2 linked regions of the Rhinolophus ferrumequinum genome follow. The protein of the gene in region 1 purifies or fractionates together with the protein of each later gene. This does not show direct contact. Links are inferred from orthologs where the notes say so. Each region holds a gene or a part of one and is shown in the gene's direction. Other genes may lie near its edges. The genes, in order: GARS1 and GFPT1.

Region 1 (8,207 bases):
GTTGAGGGGGCTTCTGGGAGGGCTTCTGAGGAGGGGGGCAGTTTCCTTTCTTTATCCTTCCTGCCTGAGAAGTGAGCCTAGTGGTTGGCAGTTCATCAGCCATCTTGAACTAGCCCTGAGGGAAAAGCCAAGAGAAGCTCAGAGAACTCAGCCCCTATATCCTTATGCCTTGCACCTGCCCTGGATTTCTCGCCTTTGCACTTCTTTTTGGATGAGAGAAAAGTAGAGCCCTGTGTTGTTATGCCTCTGTTTTTCATGTCGCTGTTACTTGTAGCCAAATGCAATTCCTAATTAATACACCGCTCTCTGCTTCTTGGCCATTCAGAGCTGTCTCAGGTCTGAGCATTCTTCAGCCTGGCCCCCAAGCTTCCATTCACTCTGGAGTCTCCCAGCTGTCCCTCCAACAGATGTCCTGTCACTTGAACTAGCCCGAATGGGCTCTTGTTTGTATCCAAGAACCCTGCCCTATATAAGGCATAAGCCAGGTGGAAGGGACTGAGGAGGTTTGGGGGTGATGTGGGAGAGGGATGATAGAGATGAAAGTAGGTTCCAGATAGAGGCATGAGTCTGTGCAGAGGCCAAAGGCCAAAGGCCACACGCCCTGTAGGTCAGTAAGGCTGGATCACAGAGTGTGGGAGACTGGCCAGAGGGAGACCGAGAGGTAGGCTATGGGGAGAGCAGACTTTATCTCGAGGGGTATGGAAGTCATGGGTAGGCTCTGTGTGCGTGTGTGTGTCACATGATCACATTTCCAAATTGGGACGCTCACTGTAAGTATAGCAAGGAGCTAGGATTGCAGGGATCCAGGTAAGAAATGAAGGAGGTGGGGGAGAGGGGAAACAGAGTTGAGAGAGGCTTGGAGATAAATAAAATAGGCAAGAACTGTATTTAGTGGGTAAAGGAGAGAAAGATGTCAAGTTCAGAATGAAAAATTCTGGCTTGAGTCCCTGAATGGATACTATCCCTTCTTCCAGCAGGCGGTTTATCATCCTCACACCACACCCCTGTACCCGTGGAAGGGTTCCTGGTGGCCGAAGAACCCATCATCTCTCATCCCCACCCTGGAGTCACAACAGTCACAGTCCTTCAAAGGGTCTCAGGTCACGTCATCAAAGGTCGTGAAATGGTCTTGCTCCCTTGATTCTGGTTAGAACATCCACCAGGTGTATCATGTCCAGTCTTGGTCCCTGATGAAGGGGGAGTTTATCAACCGGAACTTGTCCAGGTAAGGTGACCATCAGGAAACCGTGCTAATCAGGAAGTTCTGAGGGACATGGGATTGGACAGTTTGTAAGGGGATATGGCTCCTGTGTGCAAACATCTTTCTGCTTAGCAACCCTCTGAAGGCCAGGCCTGCAAGCACCCCTGCACAGCACTCTCTGCCTGGGAGCTGGTTTGTGGGGAGCTGCTCCCCTCTGCTGGACAGATAGAAACCTGTTCTCTTTCCATTTAGAGATTTTCTTCCCTAAGTCACAAATTCACAAACCCATAGTGAGAGTTGGAAGGGGCTAGAGGTCAGGTGTAGTCCCCCCCATGTTCAGAAGGGGAGACTGAGGCCAGAGAGTTACAGGAGGAGCTGGGACGAGGCGTGTGACGTCTTCCCATCCACACCAAGTCTGGGAAGCATCCCTTAGAATCCTGGAGGTGTGGGCTGGAAGAAAACCAGCTCCTGGGAACTCTGCACACACCTTAGCTCGAAGGACAAGCAGCAGGAGAAGGAGAAGGGGTGGGTACCTGACTTCAAGTAGAGGCATCAGAAAGCTGGAGAGGTGCTCACCCAGGGAAGTGGCCCAGGGCCCACCAGTCAGTCCACTCACTCTGGATAATTCCCCATCAGCCTGTGGGAGTGAGCCCCGCCTTGCCTAACTCCGCACTCCTGAAAAGGTTATGTATAAACAGAACTTTGGCCGATCAGCTGCTCATGTCACCCTCGCCCTCTTCCCGTGTCCCAGATATCCCCCCCACCTTTCTCATACACGGCCCTGTGTTCGTGGAGTAGTTAGGGCAAGCTCGCTGCTCTGACAAACATCAGCATGTATAATAGCTTAAACACAATGGAAATGTACTGTTCACTCATGTCACCAGTTCAAAGAGCTTATCGGAAAGGGGTGTGGCAATGGGCTCTGTTCCACATCGTCACTCAGGAACCAGGCTCTGCCATCTTTAACACAGGGACATCGATTTCCAGCCAGCAGCAAAGGGAACAGCATGGAGGGTGACACATGGGAGTTCATATAGGCCAGGCTGGGAAGTGGTGGCGGCAAGTGCAATCATGTTCCATTGGCTAGAACTCAAAGGAGTTAAGGAGTGGGTTAACTGTTGGAAGCTTCTGGAAAGGAGAAAGAGAACAACAGAGGGAAATAGAGCACAGAAAGAGCAGATGAGAGAGAAGGAGTCCTCCCTAACTTATGTAGGAAATTATGTATGTATGTGAAATGGACTTGGCTTTGCTTAGAAATAGTACAAATTGTGGACCCAGCTAAAATAGTGTTTATCACGGAGATACTCGATTTTGAAGGACTTTCCATATTATACCACTTCAAAATATTTTCAAAATGCAGCGGTTATTCACTCTGTAAAACAATGCAAGTAACACAGATACATTCTATATATTTAAAAACTATAAGGCCCCTTCCCTCCTTATTCTTTCCCTCTCTGTCTCTCAATTTCCAAGTTATATATTGCTGTAATATTTGAAATTTTCCAAGGAGCAAGTATTTTTTTTTATAATCAGAAAGAATAAAGATTGAGAGGATGAAAAAATAACCATGCTCTTTATATTAGTTTCCTAGGCCTGTTGTAACAAAGTACCACAAACCAGTAGCTTAAAACAATAGAAATGTATCCTCTCACAGTTAAGGACGCTAGAAGCCCACAGTCAAGGTGTCAGGAGGACCAGGCTGCCTCTGGGACTCTGGATAGAATCCAGAATCCTTTCTTGCCTCTTCCTCACTTTGGTGGTGGCCGCCAACCCTTGCTGTTCCTGGGGTCACAGCTGTGTCACTGTCTTCACATGGCAGCCCTCCTGTGTGTCTGTAGGAAGAGACAGGAGGAACTCTGTGAATTGAGGGAAATGCTCTATCTTGATTGAGGCATGGGTTATAAGAGGGTATTCCTTTATCAAAATCCTTTGAAATGCACACTTAAGATTTGTACATCTCAATGTAGGCACAAAGTTCGTTCTTCAAATAAAGAAAAGAACTTTCATAAGAAAAGAAAAAAAAACTATGACCATGTATGACAATGCTAGGGCCTGTCGTGGGTCCTGAAAGAGCCCACCCAAATGAGGGTCCCTGAAGCTCACTTACAGCTTCAGTGGTTTCATTAGCTACATGGTACAGCTGCCTCTGCCCCCCGCTCACATTCTGGCCCGCTGCTCACGTGGTAGTTGCGTGACTGTGGACAAGGTGTTTGATAGCTTGGTGCCTTGAATCCCGACTCTGTAAAATGGGTATTATTATGGAACCTATCTCATTAGATTGGTAAATAAATTACATAACTTATAATACTAACTCGTGCACAGTAAGCCCTCAACATTTATAAGCTATTATTATTGTCTGCAGAGGTAGTTTTCTAAGGAAAACGACGCAGGAAATTCTGCTAAGAGCCACATAGACCTAGTGAAGCATCCTGAGCAGAGTTGTAACGTGCCACCGCTCTGCCTTTTAGAAATAATCACTGAGGCAGCAGTGGGGAGGGCGGACTGGACGGGGGAAGAACGGATTGGGAGACCAGTGATAGGACTGTCGTCACACGAACATGGGAGACAGTATTGATCTAAAGAATTAAAAAATATATAACTGGAGTCAAAGGATACAGACTTTGAATATGTTTTAGTAACAATGTAAATAAGAGCAGATATAAAAATTAAGATCGGTTTTCATATTTAAAAATATTAAGATAAATGAAAAATTACCGATTGAAGCAAAGCCAAAGAAAAATTAGGATGAATAAAATATCAAATCTCGAAATAAAAGTTTTAAAAATACAAATTGTTTCATATTGCAAAAGGTTCTTCAGCCACCCTCCCTGCTGATGCTAAATTGCGAATACTTTTCACAAAGTGCGATTCTACAAATTGGAACAGACAGAAAAGTAACATGGACTTTCCTACTACTGGGGAAGGTCGTCCTTCTGGTGAGCCTGTCTGCTGGTGTACACTCCTGGGTGGCACTGTTGGTCACAGGGAAGGTGTGTATGGCTGTCCAACCGGTCTCCAATTGTCGCTTCTCCCGTTGACCCTCTTCTCAGTGCAGGAGAGCCCTCGTGCATCCCTTGGCATTTCCCATCATTTTCATTTTAGGCCTTCTCTTGGCGATGCTATTTTACTAACCAACACATTTTTTATTTTTCTATTCCCTCTCTGCAAAGGGAATCCAGCTGTCCAGCTAACCCACACTTGGGACAGGAGGGAGGAAGGGAGCCATCCCCAATAGGCAGGTCCGCTGAGGTAGCTCCTCTTCACTGCCCTGCTTTATCATGTTTCCCTGCTTTTTCTCGTCCCTTTGCCTCTTTCTTTTCCTCATTCCTGCTGGTTCAAATCCTGCTCACCCTGCAAAGGCTGATCAGCACTGATCTCCCAAAAGTCCGTCACTCCTCCTCTCCCTTTCCCCAGCTTTTGTCTTGACGTTGGCAAGGCGTGGATGTGTGAAGATGGGCAAGTCATTAAACCCTCTTGCCCTGTTTCCTCATCTGAGAAACATCTGAGCTTGAGCAACATTGAATGTAAGCCCCCATCAGATTTGATGTTTTAAGACCCTTTCAGGCCTACGGGGCAAAAGAACAGAAACAGTAGTGTGTTTCCCAGTGTGTCAGCCGTGTCAGCGCCCGCCCGTGTACAAGCCTATGCATTGAAGGTCCGCGTGAGTTTCAGTTTGCACGTCTCGAATGGAGCTGTGTCCTTGAACGTCCACCCTCGGGGTGGCCGGAGGCATCATTTTGCAACGCTGTTGGCAGGGGGCTACCTGCGACCCCGCAGCCCTCCCGGGCGTCCCGGGTGGGGCTAGCCCTCCCGGAGCGCCGAAGGATCCCGGGTTCTTCCGGGGTTCTGTGTCGAATCTGCTGGCGGCGAGCCGGTGCCGCGTTGCGGCGTGTGGAATGTGCGGCTGCGCGCGCGCCGCGGCGTTTACGCGGCGATTTCATCATGCTCGGGGCCCGGCGGCGCGCGCCGCTTCCGCCGCCGAAGTCTCCGCGCCGCCCAGGGCCGCCGGCTCATGCCCTTTCCGCGCCGGGCGCTGCTTAGAGCCGCCAGCGCCGCTCTGCTGCTGTCGCTGCCAGCCCGGCTCCCGGCCCGGCCACCGCTCCTGCCTCGCCGGCCCCTCAGCACGCGCGCCCCCGCCCCGACCTTATTCTCCGCCGCCTCCCGGAGCAGCATGGACGGCGCCGGGGCTGAGGAGGTGCTGGCACCTCTCAGGCTCGCCGTGCGCCAGCAGGTACCGGCATTCTGCGCCTTCCCTCTGGCCCGGGCGCTGCCCGCAACCCTCCCGTCCTGTATCCTGTCCTCTTTCTCCCCGGGCACCCGTCCACCTGGCCGTGACCCCTCGCCTTCATTCTCTGGAAGCCCTTGGTTTCCTGGCATCTTCCTCGCCTCCGCCACTTTGGACCCAGGTCCTCGGGTGCGTCGGCCACCTTCCCTCCCACGGACCGCCGTCCTTCCCTCATCTTGGGGGACTCCCTCGGATCCCCTGGGACAACTGCATCCCTCGCTCGCTCGCGATCTGTCCTCCTTTCCCCATCTTTGTTACTGCCCGCGCCTGCTCTCTCCCCGATGGCGTTGCGATCAGTGACCCTTTGCTTCTCCTCCTGTCCTAGCTCAGTAACCTCAACTTCGCTTTTCCAGCCTCCGCTGTGATCTTTGTGCACCCTGGGTGCCGAGGTTCCTAATTCTTCCCTGGTCAGTCACGAGCCGAAGCTACGGCTTCTCTCCTCTCACAGCCCGGCTCTTCGGGATGCTTCGCGTGGTGTTTCCTCCTTGACACCTTCCTTCAGGCAGTGCTTAGTTTGCCGAACGACCGGCTGAGAAAAGACAGAGTTGAAACGTGGATGTGGGGGTGTGTTGAACTTTTCTTTTTTCCCCTTCTAATAATGATGTGAGTTCTTCATCCTTCGCTCCTGTCATTTTTTTCTGGTTTCCGAAAGGGCCACTTGGAATGAGTGAGTTTCAGATCGTAAACCTGGGAAACCGTAAATGTTACTCGGTGAAGTCAGCCATCCTTCGTTTGGAACATTTCGAAATTTGATTTTGCGGAAGGGAGGGACGTTTTATGGCTGGAGGACTTGGTGATTTGTACAGGCCCGCTTTTCCTAGGGCACTGCGTGGATAACTGAATTTAGAGAGGACGAGGAAAGGATTATTTCAGATGAATTTTCACATCCAGTCAGGTAGAGCCAGAAGCTTGGAATAGGAGCCCGGGGATCGATGACTTCGTAGTAAACATGAAACGAGTTTCTCCTGCACGGGCGCCTGATGCAATAACTTGCCTTAGCTACAGAGGGTGGAACCCTCTCTCAGCAATAATTCATTGGGTAGAGCTGCTACAAATCCAGCAAATCCTGCCACTTTGCAATGTCTACTTCTTGCTATTGTGAACCTGACTGAGTCAGTAGTGTTTTATTTTGCAATTTCACTATGGGCTTAATTTTTTTCATTATTATCAGGACTCTGTGTATGCTTATTGTCCGTCTCTCTACACCCACGGTCCCCAAATAAAATTAGGTGTGGTCCCTTTGTCTTTTCTGTGACTCTCAATTTTTTTGTCATGTCCTTCACTTTCATGTCCTACATCTAATTGAAAAAAAAAAGAAAAGAAAAAAACCAAAGCACATGCCCAAACCCCTCCCTCTGCCACGTTAGTCTGGAAGTGGAGTGCAAATTACTCATCTGTAGTCAGAACTGGGGAAGTAGTTAACTTTGATGGAGGAACAACCTCCCCATGCCATGACTATCTCCTGTATTGTTTATGTTGGCTTGTTTGTTAATTTTTTCTGTACTTTAAGGTATTTTCTGAATATGTAAGTTAGTTTATGTAAGTTAGTTCACGTTCTTTTTCTAATTTTCTAGGACCACACATATATGAACTTTAAATCACACTGGAAGGGATTTAAAGACTTCTAGGTAAACCCATTTTGGTTTTTGCTTATGAGGAAATGAGACATACTGTCCCATCTCTCCATTTTGCATATTTCCATTGTGAAGTGTATGCAATTGAAGACATCCTTGGAGTGGGAATTTTAAGGTGCTTAACAACTGGTCTTGTTGGTGGGATGTGTTTCCGACAAATACGTGTTTTGTATTAATTTGGTAATTGACTGGGCTGTGTAGATGCTGTCGCTTTTAAAGGTTTGGTTTGTTGATTGACTGACATATTTTCCCATGGCATATTCCTAGGTATTTCTTGGAGGATTAGTTAGAAACTTGTAGGAGGGCTTCAGAATATCAGGAAAACTGCATTAGTTGTTTGATGAGGGCACTATAGGACAATTTAGTTTTTAAAATATTAGGAATTAGCATAGGGTGGCCAGCTTTTATTTTGCCAAATAAGGACATTTAAAAAATGAGTACAGGCATCAAACTGCCACCTGAATTCGTGTTTCATTTCATTAAAAAAAGGATATTTTAATATATAAGAAAAAAAGGCAGACCGTAAGTCAGAATAAAGAAGTTATTTATGTTGAGTAGGTTTAGCTTTGAAAAAAGATCTAATACTTTTTTTTTTTTTAACCATATAGTAATGAAACTTCTGTTCTGCAGTGTCTTGTTTTGGATCTATTGCTCTAGGGCACTGGTCTCAAATTGTGGTCAGCAAATCCTTAGAAGTCCCCAAGGTCAAAGCCATTTTTATAATAAGATGCTATTTTCCTTTTGCACTGTGTTCACATTTGCACTGATGGGTAAAACTGCCTGCCTTTAGCACTGATCAAGTGAGGGACACCAAGCTAAGTCACTGGATTCCTCATCGCACTCCAACAGAACAGTGAAAAAAGAAAACAAGAAGTTTTGCTGTAGAGTGTCCTTGACGGAGCAGTAAAAATTATTAATTTTATTAAATCCAGACCTGTTTTCATCCATCATTTTAATTTTCCGTGTGACAAAATGGGAAGTATGCATAAAGCATATTGAAATATGATGACTGTTTCAGGGAAAACATTTGTATGACTGAGTTCCAGGCTGAACCATCTGCCTCTTTTAATTGAACACTTTGTAAAAT
Region 2 (7,567 bases), on another chromosome or scaffold:
AGGCAGTTACAGTAAGAACTTCCCTTCTCATCAAGGGGCAGATAGACAACGTGTTCTACCATATGCCTCTGCCATGGCCCAGACTCCTATGCTAACTAAGAGGCCTGCCTACCTACAGCAGAGGAGTACTCTGTCAGAGTCCTGTCTTCAGAGATGCAGCAATTACTAGACCCTGTTGAATATATAGACCCTCCAAATGCTCCTGCTCCTATCCCTGTGTCATTCCCTGCAACCTGCAAGAAGAAATGGGAAGTTCTTTCTAGAGCTTGGTATACTGAGGGTGCTAGGTGGGGCAATCGCCCACCTGTATGGCAGTTGTAATCCAATCATCCCCTGATACCATCTGCATGGGAACAGGAACAAATCACAGTGGTCAGTGGGTTTATAATCACATATAAACCGTGGCTACTGTCCTGTTTACTGACAGTTGGGCCATTTTAAAGGGATTGACTATGGCTTCGACAATGAACATGAAGAGTTGACTGATTATGAACAAATCTTTATGGGAACAAGAGATGCGGAAGGATATTTGGGTTCGCTTACAAAAGCCTGAGACCAATCTTGTTGTTTTCCATGTCTCTGCCCATAAGGCATCTACAGCTCCAGGTAACCAGGGAGAAGGTGCCCTGGCAAAAATAGGTGCTTTAGCAACTGACCCATCCGTTGGCACTACAGAATGGGTACACCAGAAGAGTGGGCACCATAGTGTCCAAGTCGGATGGTGCACAGCTAAGGAGGCAGAGCTGGCTTTAAAATATAGTGACCTGGTAAATGTAGTTATTGAGTGGAGTTTTCATGTCCCACATAAGCCCACAGGCAGCTGGGTTGGTGGAATTGGAAAAATGCTGTCCTTAAACAATAGACAAGGTATTGATTGGAAAACCTACTTTGACTAGGTGGACGAAGGTGCTTTCCCAGTGTTAATACATTTAAATGACCAACCCACGAGGCCTATTGCTCCCTATGCCAGGCTGGGAACTCAGGCTGAGGCACCCAGTATGGTAAAGGTATGGAGAACAAAGGACAGCAATAGTCCCAACGCTTACCATGAACCAACCTATGATAATGAGGGCACCAATCCCTATTGTCCTTGGAACAGGGACCATTTACTGGAATCTGCAATGGGATTTTCATGTGGGATGGGTCCGTTAGTTCATGGCCCTGGGTGGGGAAGAACTGCTCAGTCCCGGGGGGACCTTGTCAGCCTAATGCAGTCAGGACCCATGGAGACATGCTATATACTCATATATGTGGACCGGTACATGCACCATTGGAAGAGGGGATGGTAGCGGTCCTAGTCTGATACACTCCCCTTCCTATTCACCTCCTGAGGCCACACAGCACCACTTCCTCCTGGCCAACAAATACGGTTTACACAGCCTGGCCGGGTTCCACAGACTACGGCCACATTACCATCTAAGGATCAGGCTGCAAATGTAATTCTCACCGAAGGAGACGATCTCCCAATTTAAGTCCCTACCAAATATTTATCTTTCTGATCTTAGACTTCTGTTGTTCCTGTGCATCCAGTTCCAGGAGTGGGGAAGGGAACCTGTGTCATCATCCAAACTAAATGTGTTTTTCTACTAGATGAATCTGTTAATATTTCTTCTTTGTTAGCACATATGAAAACTCAAGTAAATGTGTTAAACGATCTGGCCTCAAGCCTAGGTGACCCAGTAACCCACTGGTTTGGGCCCTGGGGGGTGGCGGGTGGGGGTGGGAGGCAGGTTGGAAATAATTGTTACTCATACCTTGACTGCTTCTTTTAATTTCTTTTTGTATGTGCTGCCAACTGTATCTCCAATGCAGTCAATGGGCGAGTAAGCAAGCTACTTCCCTGCTACTGAAGTTCCTCACTGACCACTCAGGGCTCTTTCTGGAATGGGGGGAGAGGCGTATGAGATTATAAGAGCTGGTCATGAGGGATGGAGTGTGGAGGAGAGACTGTTGTGCGATGTGCCACTGTACCGCAAGCTGGATCCAGGCCAGGACTGAGTTGCTTTCCTCAAATCCCCCTTACAGACTGTCTGATTGTAATTGATGTTCATTCTGACATAAATCAGCACCCCTTCCTTGCCTCCTGCTATGTGCTGGTTTCTGGAACAGGTTGTTGTCCTGAACTGGTCAAGCATGTAATTTCCAGTACCTGGTCGCATTCACGTACTATATTTCGCCTTTTTACCCTGTATAATTCTCTGGCACCTGCCAAGCGGTGTGGGGATCCATTTTGTCTTGCAGCCACCCAAGACATGCCTTGTATGTAAATTTCCCGTAATAAATTCTATTAATTGCCAGACTGGAGTGGCCAGCCTCTTGCTTCAGTTTTTCCCAGCCCTCTGCTTATGGAAGTAGATTTTCAGTCTTGAGACTTCTCCCTTGGTCTGTGTCTACTAATTGTTGGGGATTATGAGCCTTCAAAGTTTCTTCCTCTCAACTGGTACATAAGCACCTTCCAAAAATAGCTGTAGAATGGAGATGGACACGACAAACTGACAGTCATGATGGAGTAACAAACAGAAGAGGAAAGCCAGGAGGACAATAGATTATTATAGTTTGAGCATGATAACTTTGGTAGTACTGCGGGCATTCTCTTTGTAGCATTGACAGGTAGTTTCTGGCAGTGCACAAAGGTATTGCTCAAATATTGGACTCATACTTTGACTCTTTGGCAATGTCACTGAGGTTTTACCAGAAACTCTTAGATGAGGGTTTTGAGGTTAAGATGTATATCCACAGAGACTTTGCCTCTTGAATTAAGAAACATGTTGTCTACTATCTAACAGCTCACTGTTGTTTGTTTTTGTTTTTAAACTTTGCTCTGAGTGATTTAAGAACATGTTTAAAGTCCTGAAATACTAAAAGACTTAAATTTTTGAAATACTTTTATTAGTTAAATGTGACATTTCTTGGCCTCTTTTTGAGGCCAGTGGTAAAAAGGCATTTTTTTCCCTCTAAGAAAAAACTGAAAAGTCCTTTGCTCATTTGATCATATAACTAGCCATAGAAAGTCAATTCTGCTAAGAACATTTGACTTTTCTCCACTCACTCAAAAGCATTTTTGATCCCTTATTTTATGCTAGGGTTTATACTAGGTGTTGGGTATGCTAAGACTTGTTCTAGCCTCAAGAAACTTAGCCTAATAGGGAAATGTACAAAAAATAAAATATCAAAGCATATTACTTTAAAGGGGGAAGCGCAAAGAATGAGCAGTTAATGCATGTGTTTAAGTCTGTCTGGGGGAGATAAAAAAAAAAAAAAGGTTTTCCCTAGGAGGTAGCATTTAAGTAGAGATGGGTAGGGATTTCATGAAGTGTACCCAATGTGTGCAAAAGACTTGAGAATGTTTGCCCAATTCTCAAACTATCTGTTGAGTGTTGTTGGAGTGTAAAGGGATGGAATTTGGGGTAGGAAGAGAGCAGTAGTGTGAGCTAAGATGACACATCTGGGGTCAGAAGTCCATGCCATGTTCTGTGTGCCATACAAGTTTTTACTTGATTCTATCCTAGAATCATTAATAGAGCTACAGTAACCACCTATATTTGACAAAAGAAACCATTTAAATCTTCCTAAAGCAAATGCTCAGGTAATAAATTCTCAGAAACATCATCTCTCTTTGATTAAGTTTCTTTTGGCAGGAATGGTACATTAATAGAATTGATTAATCGTTCATGAGTCAAACGTCAGGCTGTCAAATCTAGGCAATTCCTAGTCCTCTCAGGTGGGGGAGCAGAAGTCTCCCCTCCTGCCCCTCTGCAAAAAACAAAACTGGGGGTTAGGGAGGCAATGGATGGGGGGGGCGGATCGGGTGCCCGAGGGATTCTAGAAGCCAACTATATTACAATAGAGCCTAAGTCCAGAACTGAATTGCCTATCACCAGAAAGACTAACCGAAACTGCATGGAGTTTTGCAATCAAGAATTTTGGTATCTCTCATCTCAATTCTTTGCATTTTTTCCTTCGGCCTATGTCCCTTTCCCACTCTGATTTGTTGTGCCTCAGGATCCTCTTATCAGGCCTCCTGCTTTCTTCCTCCTCTTTCCCCGCTTCGTGGGGTGCCGGACCTTGGGGCCTTGGACTGCACTAGGCGCGCGCTCCAACGCTATTTGCTTTGCTAACAATTCCATTCTACTCTTTCCTTATCTTTCCGACATCCCCTGCCAGCCACCTAGTTTATTCCTCTCCCGCTGCGCTATCCCTCCCGTTGCTCGCCCAAGGGCTGGGCGGCTCCAGGAACCCCAAGCGGATGCGGCCACGAGCCGCTGCCACGTCTTCGCAGCCAGCAGGCCAGCGCCTGCGTGGGCTCCGGGGAAGGGCGGGGCGGGGCGGTGCGGGGAGGCGGGATCTGCGCGTGAGCAGCGCGGACGTGACCCAATGAGATCTGCGGACGGCGGCGGCGGCGGCGCGGTGCGCGCTGAGGGGCGGAGCCAGGAGGCAGTTGCTGGCGAGCCCGGGAGGCCCAGGAGGCAGTCGTTACCCAGGCTGTCGCATCCCGGAGGGAATCTCGTCGGTGCCCCACTGGCCTCCAACCCCGCCGATCGCCCCACAGGCTCGTGTGCGCTCCCGATCTTGCCAGCCGTTCGCCACTCGCCTTGCGGACTGTGCCTCCTGCATCATGTGCGGTAAGGGGCCGCGGGCGGGGGGCGTGTTGCGGGGTGGTGCTGGGGTGCGGTGCGGGCGCCGCTGAGGCCTGAGGCACGGGAGGGAGCGGGAGTGTGGAGGGTGCGAAGTCTGGATGGTGGGCGGGGAGCGTCCCGGGGTGGCTGCTGGTACTGGGGGTGGGGGCCGGTCACTAAGAGCTGGAGGTGGGTGGTGGATTTAGGAAGGCACCTGAGAGGAGGGCGGGCCCTATAGAGGACCTGGGGGGCCGCAAGGGGCGGTTTTGCGCGAAGAAGGGAACCAAGAAAAGAAGGGAACCCCTTTTCCTTGTATCGGGAAAGGGGATTGTTTGTATTGGTTGAGGGAATTGAGGTGCGGAGGGAGGTGTCTTCACAAGAGTCTACCAGGTGAGGCAACCTGTGGAACATCAGGTGAGGACTCTTGGACTTATCTTGTATTCTTCTAGTATTTACCTTTTTAAAAATATTTATTTTTAGTTGCTTTCTTTCGGTCAGGCCCAATAGAAAACAGAATTATAACTAGAGCTAAGACAATGGCATTACACATGATCTTATTTCTTCCACCCTGTCTCAACAGAAACCATTGCCAATCAATAACTTGGTGAATGGGCTTTACTGATCCTCTGTGGAAGCCGCCCAGAAGTGACCGTGGCGATAGATCATACATCATTGATCACTTGCATGTGCACCCACTTAAAAAGACTTACCTAGGGAAAATATTGGTCTACATTTAATGACTGTTTTACCTAGAACATTTAAAACATAAAGTTTAGCCTCTTGTTTTGAGACTTAGTTGTTTCAATATTACCTAAAAGTGTTAGCTAAAAGGGATTGTCAGAAATATATTTGGAATGACTGATATGCACTAAAATTGGTATTAACTTGGCCATTGTCAGTATAAAGAATTCTATTCTTACCTTAATGAAATTTACAACTGACCTTACTCCTGGAAGAATAAAAAACACTTTTTAAAGGGAAATAATGACTTTAATAGAATTTAAACTATCTGGGAAACTTATTCTTTGTAGCCTTTTGCAAAAGAACTGAGCTGGAGGTGGCTTGTTCTCATTAGTGTATATTTTTCCTGTATTTAACATTATGCTAATTTCAGCTTCTGAAAAGGAGGAGCAGGTTTAAATTTAGAGTAGATTAAAAAGCAGAAACAGAAACACCTATGAACAGCTTGCTGAAATTATTAGTGTTGCTCACTTTAGAATCAGATATACTGTATTTTTGCTATGTCCAGTTAGTAGAGTGGTTTTACAAAACACATAATATGATTTGGAGCTGTGAAGTAGTGAATTTGCAAACTGTTTAATCCTCAGTTTGCTCCATTTGGTAATTAATTGTTCCTGAATCATGAGGTGTGTGCCTGATTAAGCACCTAGCTTTCAGGTTACAGGTCATTTCTTCATCTTGTTCCAGGAAAAAGGAAGTCAAAGTATTATAAAAGAAAATATCTGATCTGGTTTGGAAAAGGTGCAGAGTAGAGTGGGGCTTGCAGGATGGAGACTAGATGTTGAGAATTTTCACTTAGCCAACATCCCTATGCCACAGAGTTTTATTGCTGAGAAAACAGACAGGTTATAAATAATAAAGAAAGAACTAGTATTTGAGGCATTTCTGAGGTCCTGCTTTTAACTCAGACCGGAGTTTTTCATGATTCCAGGAATATGATCCTGAACTAATTTATATCCTGAACTAATGTAAATTCTGAAGGTTAATTGTGAAGACAAGAGTTTGCCTTTGTTTTCCTCCCACATCTTTAATCATTAAAATTTCTAGGCAGAGAAATTGAGTGGGGAATGAGATTCGATAGGAGAATTTAGAGATTTAACTTCTGGTTACCTGCTGCCTATTCAGGTTTTTCTAAAAGATTTTTTGTTTCAACATTGCAAAATGTTGAAGCAGAATAATGAGGGCTAGCCGGTTCTGAGATCTGCCTTTCTTCAATCTGATACACTGATTAAACTGTTACAATGTTTACCAGGTTGAATTGGGATGTTAATAAGTGTTAATCAGACAAAAAAAGATTCTATGGTCAGGTAAATTTGGGAGCAACAGATTACACAATGTTGAATTGGTTTCTTTAATTGGAGGACTTCATAGAACATTTAATGTGCTAATAAGTGTTGTGAACCTCCCAGAGTCTAATAGTGTGTCCGCTTTCCAAATTTATTTTATCTTCCTCTTATTCTTGATCCTTTGAAATTACACTAGTTCTTTTTTAATTGTTTTACCTTTGCCTTTGGTGAGAGAGTGTCAAGCTGCTTCAGGTACCCACATTTTTTTTTTTTTAACAGATTTTGCTTTTTTTTTTTTTAATAAATGTTAGTGTATATAAATAGAGTTTTTGTAAATGGGATTATATTTAAAAGCAGTGAGGGAGCTGCAATTTAAAAGTATCCTGAAATGAATTCTTAAAAAGTTTTTTGTAACTATACTGTCTAATGGCTTTGGGAGTAATTGAGGGATGCTGAGACTTGCTGCTAGGATAAGTCATAAAATGGTACTATTAACATATCTTTAGAGATCATGCTGGATATAAAGTAGTTGTAAAAGAAAATAATTAATTGCTTAATAAGCATTTCCTCAACTGTGTTCCCCGCAAAGGGAGAAGTTAATAGGTGCTGATAATGAACAGTAGAAGGTGGGAAAGAGTTTTATTAACACAAAAGTTTGGGAAATTCTGCTTTTGGAGATTTGCAATTAGCAAGGTTAAAGATTCTAGGAAGACCTACAAATAAACCTTTTAACTTTGTTTAACCCAGTATTTCTTACGTCTTTTATTATGGAACCTCATCCCTACTTTGCATTCTGCAACTAGTGTTCTCTTTCTGTGGTTTGGGAATTTTTGACTTCACATTTCAGGTCCCTAAAAAGTGTTAGAAGATATTTGAGGTGATGCTTTTGTACTTGGCACTCTGCCCGCTGGAGAGATGATTAAA

The links.
Region 2: the proteins of GARS1 (region 1) and GFPT1 fractionate together in Homo sapiens (co-fractionation; 3 studies listed by BioGRID, with this or other methods). This does not show direct contact. The link is inferred for Rhinolophus ferrumequinum from reciprocal best matches to the Homo sapiens genes GARS1 and GFPT1.

The regions. Positions count from the first base shown.
Region 1 is NC_046303.1:11,868,055-11,876,261, reverse strand, and holds the start of GARS1 (glycine--tRNA ligase), read left to right. Parts: upstream 1-5,037; 5' UTR 5,038-5,213; coding exon 5,214-5,432; intron 5,433-8,207. UniProt on the Homo sapiens protein: Catalyzes the ATP-dependent ligation of glycine to the 3'-end of its cognate tRNA, via the formation of an aminoacyl-adenylate intermediate (Gly-AMP).
Region 2 is NC_046296.1:21,409,971-21,417,537, forward strand, and holds the start of GFPT1 (glutamine--fructose-6-phosphate aminotransferase [isomerizing] 1), read left to right. Parts: upstream 1-4,428; 5' UTR 4,429-4,615; coding exon 4,616-4,622; intron 4,623-7,567.